Daphnia pulex: one gene and its partner. Each later gene encodes a partner of the first gene's protein in a complex. Links are inferred from orthologs where the notes say so. Each region holds a gene or a part of one and is shown in the gene's direction. Other genes may lie near its edges.

The links.
Region 2: the proteins of N-alpha-acetyltransferase 25, NatB auxiliary subunit-like (region 1) and N-alpha-acetyltransferase 20-like are in contact, whole or in part, in a cryo-EM structure (PDB 7STX), measured with the Homo sapiens proteins. The link is inferred for Daphnia pulex from reciprocal best matches to the Homo sapiens genes NAA25 and NAA20. Residues at the interface, in NP_079229.2 of Homo sapiens: Ser226, Glu227, Ile228, Asn259, Asp261, Asp262, Trp263, Gln264, Arg318, Arg321, Leu325, Lys362, Pro363, Cys364, Thr367, Asp368, Val371, Leu457, Thr459, Glu460, Leu461, Ser504, Ala506, Leu510, Leu532, Asp533, Lys535, His536, Ile537, Gln538; in NP_057184.1 of Homo sapiens: Thr2, Thr3, Leu4, Arg5, Thr8, Cys9, Asp10, Leu12, Phe13, Phe15, Asn16, Asn19, Leu20, Pro22, Leu23, Thr26, Tyr27, Gly28, Ile29, Pro30, Leu33, Gln34, Leu36, Ala37, His38, Pro40, Glu41, Pro49, Glu52, Met54.

The regions. Positions count from the first base shown.
Region 1 is NC_060028.1:8,233,548-8,238,067, reverse strand, and holds the start of N-alpha-acetyltransferase 25, NatB auxiliary subunit-like, read left to right. Parts: upstream 1-1,618; 5' UTR 1,619-1,683; coding exon 1,684-1,759; intron 1,760-1,916; coding exon 1,917-2,002; intron 2,003-2,077; coding exon 2,078-2,216; intron 2,217-2,280; coding exon 2,281-2,474; intron 2,475-2,542; coding exon 2,543-2,680; intron 2,681-2,755; coding exon 2,756-3,128; intron 3,129-3,194; coding exon 3,195-3,370; intron 3,371-3,436; coding exon 3,437-3,600; intron 3,601-3,675; coding exon 3,676-3,842; intron 3,843-3,908; coding exon 3,909-4,078; intron 4,079-4,147; coding exon 4,148-4,425; intron 4,426-4,491; coding exon 4,492-4,520. UniProt on the Homo sapiens protein: Non-catalytic subunit of the NatB complex which catalyzes acetylation of the N-terminal methionine residues of peptides beginning with Met-Asp, Met-Glu, Met-Asn and Met-Gln. May play a role in normal cell-cycle progression.
Region 2 is NC_060019.1:120,224-123,330, forward strand, and holds N-alpha-acetyltransferase 20-like, read left to right. Parts: upstream 1-1,193; 5' UTR 1,194-1,396; coding exon 1,397-1,449; intron 1,450-1,532; coding exon 1,533-1,557; intron 1,558-1,636; coding exon 1,637-1,727; intron 1,728-1,795; coding exon 1,796-1,925; intron 1,926-1,990; coding exon 1,991-2,127; intron 2,128-2,187; coding exon 2,188-2,273; 3' UTR 2,274-2,297; downstream 2,298-3,107. Other genes in the region: BTB/POZ domain-containing protein 7-like, read right to left, coding at 1-333, 431-579; nascent polypeptide-associated complex subunit alpha, muscle-specific form-like, read right to left, coding at 2,427-2,651, 2,709-3,107. UniProt on the Homo sapiens protein: Catalytic subunit of the NatB complex which catalyzes acetylation of the N-terminal methionine residues of peptides beginning with Met-Asp, Met-Glu, Met-Asn and Met-Gln. Proteins with cell cycle functions are overrepresented in the pool of NatB substrates.

The DNA.
Region 1 (4,520 bases):
TATTAGCGTTTTGTTTTACATCTTGTCTACGCTGATTCTTTCATTTATACCATTAGGACAAATATTTGTCCCGCGCTGTCCGTTCATGTCAAATTGTCAACGTAAAAAAGATCAAATGAAACCCTCCCTCGGAGACCATAAGGAAAGCCCCTGCGAATCAAAACAACAAGCCATAGAAATATGGGTGGGTCCAGCCAGTTGTGCAATATTCATATATGATCGCTGCTGCCCACCAACCAACGAAAATGGTGGTGCAGTTCTTGTGCGGGATACATGTACTAGTGTGTGGTGGCATTGTGTTGGACTTATCCGTTTGGAAATCGATCCGTGCCGTTGTTTTCGTGACGACGGTGACAATCGAAATGATACAGCGGCCCAATCGTCAATCCTGCAGCTGACAGCCAACCCGGACAGACCCTTGTACACACAGGCGATATAGACTGTGGGCGACGGCGTGCTATATAGTCGGTCGACGAATGAGACGAGTCGGGACCAGAGTCTCTTTGGCCCCAATCGATCGATGTGCGCCATGCACATGGAACTGAGAAGAAAATCCATACACACACTACTATACACACACAGTCTCTATCCTCTTGATGGCCCTTGAGCTCCTAGTGCAGAGGCTCCTATATAGCTCCTATATAGTCTGATCCCTACCTCCTTCCGGATCCCGCTCGTCCTCATTCACGAGAGAGATTGCCACGTCACGCGTCACAGATTCCCCCAAACACACACAAATAATACGATATCCAAATATCAATAGAATGTTATTATTATTTATTTATTTATTTAGTTTTTCATCGCGTGTGACGTCGCTGTCATATTGAAAGCGCCTGCGCCAATCGCATCAAAATGTCGCCACATCTTTCACGACGCCGGCCAATGATAGAGGGGCGGCGACCAAATAGAACGACGACGTCAGTAGCAGTAGAAAATAAATCAATTCTCTAGCTCTTTTTTGTTTCGCTATAAAAGGCCTTCTCCACGTCTGTGTACAACATCGCTATTTCTATACCGTCGTCATATCTAATATCTACATATATATACTAAAGGAAGCCGAATGACCGATCGATATCGGCTTCTCTTTTGTTTAGGCAATTCGAAATGAGATACACATAGACATATGGAGATGTGTGTGTGTATAGAGAGTCTACAGCAGCACTTGAAAGTTAATAAGAAACTAGTTCACTTTGTTATTGCTACTTCTATTGTTCAACTTTTCCCTTGATACTTAATATATTCACGAAGAAATAAGAGCTAGCTCCATTTTCATCACGGCGCTTTGTTGACGTAACACATTTCAGGTGGCAGAGAAACGTCTGACGTCAAAGACTTTGATTCATTTTCTCCCCAAAAAAGAAAAATAAATAATCAGACTAATCAAACTTTGATGTTGGAAACTGCTCTTGTCGTCACAGCCATTGAGAAATAAAAAGGACCATGTGTTTTTCTTTATACAAGGACGAATGGCTACACTTTATCGATTTCTCCAACGGTATTGCATGAAAAGAGAATCTTCTTCTTTGGCCCGACTCTACAACTATTTCCTATATAGATGCAATGCAATTTAGGATATTACCGATCAAATTTGGCGCGTTTCCTGAAACGTTGCGCGGAACACTAGTCCGCGCCATCTGCACAAGGCCCCACAGAGTTTCTTTAATTTATTTTTTCCCAAAAGACATGGTCTCGAAGATGGCTACAAAAATGAAGCCGGTTGATAATTCAGTCAACGAGAGACGTTTGCGGCCAATTTACGGTAAATGATTGTACGGAAAATTCATCCCCCAAATATAAACCTCACCCGTGACCAAAAAATAAATATCATTATGTTTCGGGGGTTCACCCCACCACACACGATTTGCTCCGAGTTAATTTGTTCTCTTCACCTGTCTTGATTTCCATAATCATAACAGATTGGCTGGATAATGGAAACAACAAGAAGGCTCTGCAGGAGGCGGAAAAGGTCTTGAAGAAGCAGCCAAACCTACAATGTGCCAGGGTACGCTGCTTGTTGTAAACATTGGCTCTCAAGTGAGGAAAGTGTCAAAATGTGAGAGATATTTTGTTTGTTTAGGTTCTCAAGGCCCTGGCCATGGTGAGGCTAGGGAAATCAGAGGAGGCCCAGACCATCTTGCAGGAGGTGCAATTGGAGGAGCCTTGCGAAGATGCCACACTTCAAGCCATGGCCATTTGCTATCGGGAAACTCACAGACGTAAAAGCAAAGTTCTTACACTTGGATAACTTCTTTTTAAATAATGTGATCTTCTTTTACACAGCTGAACTGACGTGCCAGATTTATGAAGCGGCAGTCAGGAAAGACCCTTTGAACGAGGAATTTCTGTCCCATCTCTTCATGGGCTATGTTCGCATTGGTGACTACCGAAAGCAGCAGCTGACAGCCATGGCCCTCTTCAAAGTCAAGCCCAAAAACCCATACTATTTTTGGGCTGTCATGAGTATCCTTATGCAAGTAAAGTTCACCTTTAAGAAAAACTTGCCTTGGAATGTTGATGTTGATTTTTTTTCCCGCTTTCGTAGGCCTACGTCAACGACGATACCGTATGCCTTACGATAACGTTGCCGTTGGCCGAAAGAATGATCAAAAAGTTTGTGGAAGAGAAGAAGATTGAAGCAGAAGCTGAAGTGCAATTGTACTTGATGGTTCTGGAGAAACAGGTATATTCATCGAGAGTATACAATATTGTTTTTTTGTTATTGCATCCATAACCAAGGGCCAATATCTATCAACAGAAAAAATACCAGGAGGCCTTACAAGTGCTGCAAGGATCGCTATCGGAAAAGCTGGCGAATGGCATGATTGAAAACAAAAAGGGCGAATATCTTAGGCAAATGAAACGCTGGGATCAGATGTTGGATTACACCGAGGAACTTTTGCGTTCAAACCCGGACCAGTGGAGCTATTACAGCCTTTACATGGAAGCCTTGTTTGAGTTGACCAGCACTACCAACGCCGATGTGATTGGCCGAGCGAAAACCTTCCTCCTCTCTTTGATGGAGCAAGAAAGACTCAAGTCAGAAAACAAGTTGCGGGGCCCTTATTTGGCGATGCTCTTTTTCTGGCAGCAACTCCAACAACGAAACTTTGACGCTTCCACCGTTTTCGGTAATCTTAATTTGCCATCGCAAGTTGCCTCCTTGGTCCAATTGTAACTTTGCCGTTGTTGTTTAGGCAATTTCAGGGAATTTGCCCAAGAATACGTGGAAGTAATGGGAGACAAACCTTGCGCTTTCCAAGATCTTCGGCCGTTCGTCAGCAGTTTGCCGGCCGAACAGGTGAACGAATTTCTTGGTTGTGTTACCCAATCCGTTGGCTTGGATCAATCAAGTTCCCAATCTCCTACTACGGTAATATTTTATATCTAGGTCCAAGGCCTAGGAGCCAACTAAAAGTTTCTCTTTTTTCTTTTTAAGGTGAAGCAAATATGCCGGCACTTGTTGCACATCCAGTTGAATAGGTTCCTCGGTCAACATGATCTGTTGAATAAAGAAGAAAAAATTGAGCTCTCTCAGAAATTGTGGGGCCATTATTTGCAAACGAAATCTCTGAATGCTGGTCTGTTGGCAACGGATTTTAGGTATCCAGTCTATGCTGTTCTTTTTTAATTTATTCACAGATGACCAAGCAATGCTTTTCTTTTTGAATGGGATAGACCGAACGATGGCTATGCCTTGTTGGCTGCCCACCTTTTGTTAGATACGTGGAATAACGATCCCGTTGTTCTCGACAAGTGCCTGTTATTGCTGGAAACGGCCCTAGCCAACAGTCCAGCTAATTACCACCTAAAGTTGCTCGTCACCAGAGTATATACACTAGCTGGTAACAAATAAATTAGTAACAGTACAGATCAATTTAATAGTTATTTCGCCCCCCATTTTTCAATAGGTCACGGCCGTGCAGCCTTCCAGCGTTACGAATCGTTGGATGTTAAATACATTCAATTGGATTCGCTTGGCCATTTGCTCTGCCGTCCACTGATTTCGATGGGATTGCCGTACACAGCTTCGCCACTACTCTCCAACACGTTACGTTTTTACACCACGCACGCAAGAGAAGTACTCTATTCATTCGCAATGTTTCAGGAATCTTCTCATCTGATTTGGTTTTAATCATTTCTTCAACAGACATCCGAGTGTTTAATTTCGGCCTATAAATTTGGCTCTTTCGGGAAGATTCCCGAGTTTACTCAATTCTGCCAACGGCTGGATAGCTCTGCTCACTTTGCCTCGTCCACGACCGAGCGCATGCTGCTGGATCTGCTTCTGGACGGCAACTCCCATACGAAATTAGTTCAATCTGCGGCAGGTATGTTTGCCGATCCCGACAAAGATCAGCCAGATTGGAAAACGTGTGTCGATAATCGTGACTGCGGCGTCTTTGTATCTTGGGATCCACCTGCCAAGTAACGAAAACCAATCAATTCTATTTTTAAAAAAAGGATCACATTTATCTTACTCTGTTGTGTTAGGAATTCTCGCGAAGATATGGTCAAGACAA
Region 2 (3,107 bases), on another chromosome or scaffold:
GAACATCGTGAACTGAGAATGGCTCGATGGACTGGGAAACAGGCGCCCTGGAAAATGAGCGTCACATCGCTGGCGTATTTGTAGTCGAACAAGTCCGACAAGTCTTGTTTGTGCGTTGAGGCCGGTGGACGGGCCAAATCGGCTTGGACGGACAAATCCTTGAGCGCTGCCGTCGCTTCGTACTCTTCCACCAGCGTGTTGAGTTCCAATGGGCTCCAATCGGACACGAATTCACGTATCACTTTGCCGTGATCGTACGATTTCGATGTCCTACGTCGACGTATCAATTTGCGACGTAACGTGGCGAACCCAGTCATCTTTTTCTTCTTTTCTCTGCATTAAAATTGTACAATGTAGTTATTTGTATTAAAACGACCAACTAAAACTAACTGGGAACCAGTAGAAAAACCAATCACAAATCGAAAAATACCTGACGGATACTCCAACAAGCTGATCGCCAGAGTGCATTGATGAGAATGTTTTGGATGAGTCTGAATTCCTGGCAGATCGGTGGCAAGGAGTTGTGCCAGTAGATGTAACGCATTTTCCATCATGAAAACCCGATGCACTGGCTCCCATTTTCTTATCCAAAACAAAAAATAGACGTGAACTTTTCTTCGCTGCTGAGACTCTGGACGTTTCCCTCTGACCACTTCTTTTGATTATATGGCTGGTCAGTTGAATGTGTTTTTCAATCGATTTTGACACATTGGCCCGTTTGGTTGGCGAAAATTGCACATGCAAATCTTGAACGTCTTTTCTTGGAGAATCAACTCAACGAGATTTCTGATCGTCCGACATTTCTCACTTGTTGTAATTCAATTTCACTCTGCGACAATTTACAAGCAACACTGCCACCATCTTGTTTCAACTATTAAGTCTAAAACAGGCTCGCCGACTGCCCTCCACTACAGTTCAAAGCGAGTCTACACTATTGGCTATCTTTTACTAAATCAAGGGAAATGGAAAGTGGAAACGAGAATTCAACATGAAGAAAACTCCCAAATAATTCACAATTTATGATTTTTTAAACTTATTAAGAATTTCGACAAGCTTTTCTCGTTGATATTTCATTTTTGGGATAATCAAGTGTTGTCACAAATTATTTTCCGCGAGTTTTACTGTGGTGGAATCTTTCCGTAATTTAGTTTTCTGCTTTCCATTTTCTTTCAATTAGCAATGGCTTTCAGTGGCGAGCGACTCTTAGCAGTCCAGACGGCGCCTTTTACTTAATGACAGTAGACTCCCCTCTCTTCTTCTTGTTCCCATAAGGCAACGAATTCCTCTCAATTATATGGTTTACGACCTCTAGGGCGAATTCTCCTTCTGGCGAAAGAAGTATATATAAATAATTGTTCTTTGGGGTTTTTTTCTTTAAAACCCACTTCACTTAAAAATGACGACACTAAGGCCGTTCACCTGTGATGATATGTTTCGTTTTAATTTCGTGTAAGTCCCTATCAAAAAGTTTTGTAAACAAACTTATTTTTTAAATTATTAATTCGGCTTTCATTTTTATGGTCACCGTTTAGAAATCTAGATCCTCTGACCGAAACGGTAATATCTCTTGCATAAATCATGGCCAACAGCTACGAGACTAATAATGCATATTTTTTCCAACAACTTTTCCATGTAGTACGGGCTCACTTTCTACCTGCAATACATGGCTCATTGGCCGGAATACTTTCAACTGACTGAAGCACCTGGTGGAGAAATCATGGGATACAGTAAATTGATATTCACGTCCAAGTGAAAGCCTCTCAATTAATCAAGACTTTTCTCTACATCCGGACAGTTATGGGTAAAGCAGAAGGGCACGCCACCAACTGGCACGGCCATGTTACCGCTTTGAGTGTAGCACCAGACTACAGAAGGCTGGGGCTGGCTGCAAAACTTATGTTTGGATTAGAAGAAATTTCTGAAAAGTAAGCCTGATACTACCGAATGCTATCACTGTAGGATGAATTGAAACTAAATGTCATTTACTCAGGAAACAAGCCTATTTTGTTGACCTGTTTGTCAGGGTGTCTAACACTGTGGCCATCAACATGTACAAAAATTTAGGTTACATCATATATAGAACTGTGTTGGAATATTATTCTGGCTCACCTGATGAAGATGCCTATGGTGAGCCCTGCATTTTATTTTAAATCAGAATTTTAAACTTAATTCTTTTTCCCACCTTAGACATGAGAAAATCTTTATCAAGAGATGTGGATAAATTATCAGTAGTGCCTCTAACTCATCCAGTCAGACCAGAAGATATTGAATAAAAATACATGGTCATATTCTTTCAATTATTTGAAAACTTGGTTTATTAGAATAGGAAAGGAAAAAATGGCTTTACTTGAGGGGCAAAAAAAAAGAAAAATAAAACAAAAGGAAATATTTGGAACGTTCTATGGAAACGAAAGACATTTTTTAAATTAACTTGACAAATTAAACTTTTCGATATCTTCAAAGTGCGAGTTCATCACTTTGCACCATTGCTCCTCTTCCTTGTCGCGTTTGTTCTTCTTTTGTCCAGTTCGCTTCTTCAACTTTTTGGGGGTTTCATCGACATCCCCGAAATCATCGAAATCTTCGGTTTCCAAGAGTATTTTTCGTTTGGCTATCCGCAAGTCACGTTTCGAGTAGGACTTCCTAGCAGGCTACAAAATAATTATTAATAATTTTTACTTGAATAAGGTGAGAACTCAATTTCTTACCTCGTCGAAAACTGTGGGCGGTGTAGGAGGGACAACAACTTTCTTTGGAACGGCATTTTCTTCGTTCACGTGATTCTCACCCACTACTTGAATGTACTGCACCAATTTGGTCGACTTTGGTTTGACTGGCTCGAGAGGTCGGATACCACGAATCAAATCACGCGCCACATTTTCATCGATGCGGGCTGGACGATTGATGGACTTTCGTATAGCCTTGGAGAGTTTACGAACGGGCGAAACAGACGAGAAGCAATCGGCAACTGTTTCTTGTCTAATGGGTGTAGATTTGACGAGTTTACTTTCAATTACTTTAGTGGTCGGCTCATTTTCAGGCTCTTGTTCAAATCCAAACAATTTTTCCATTTCCATTTCAACTTGAGAATCACGAGTCATATCGGA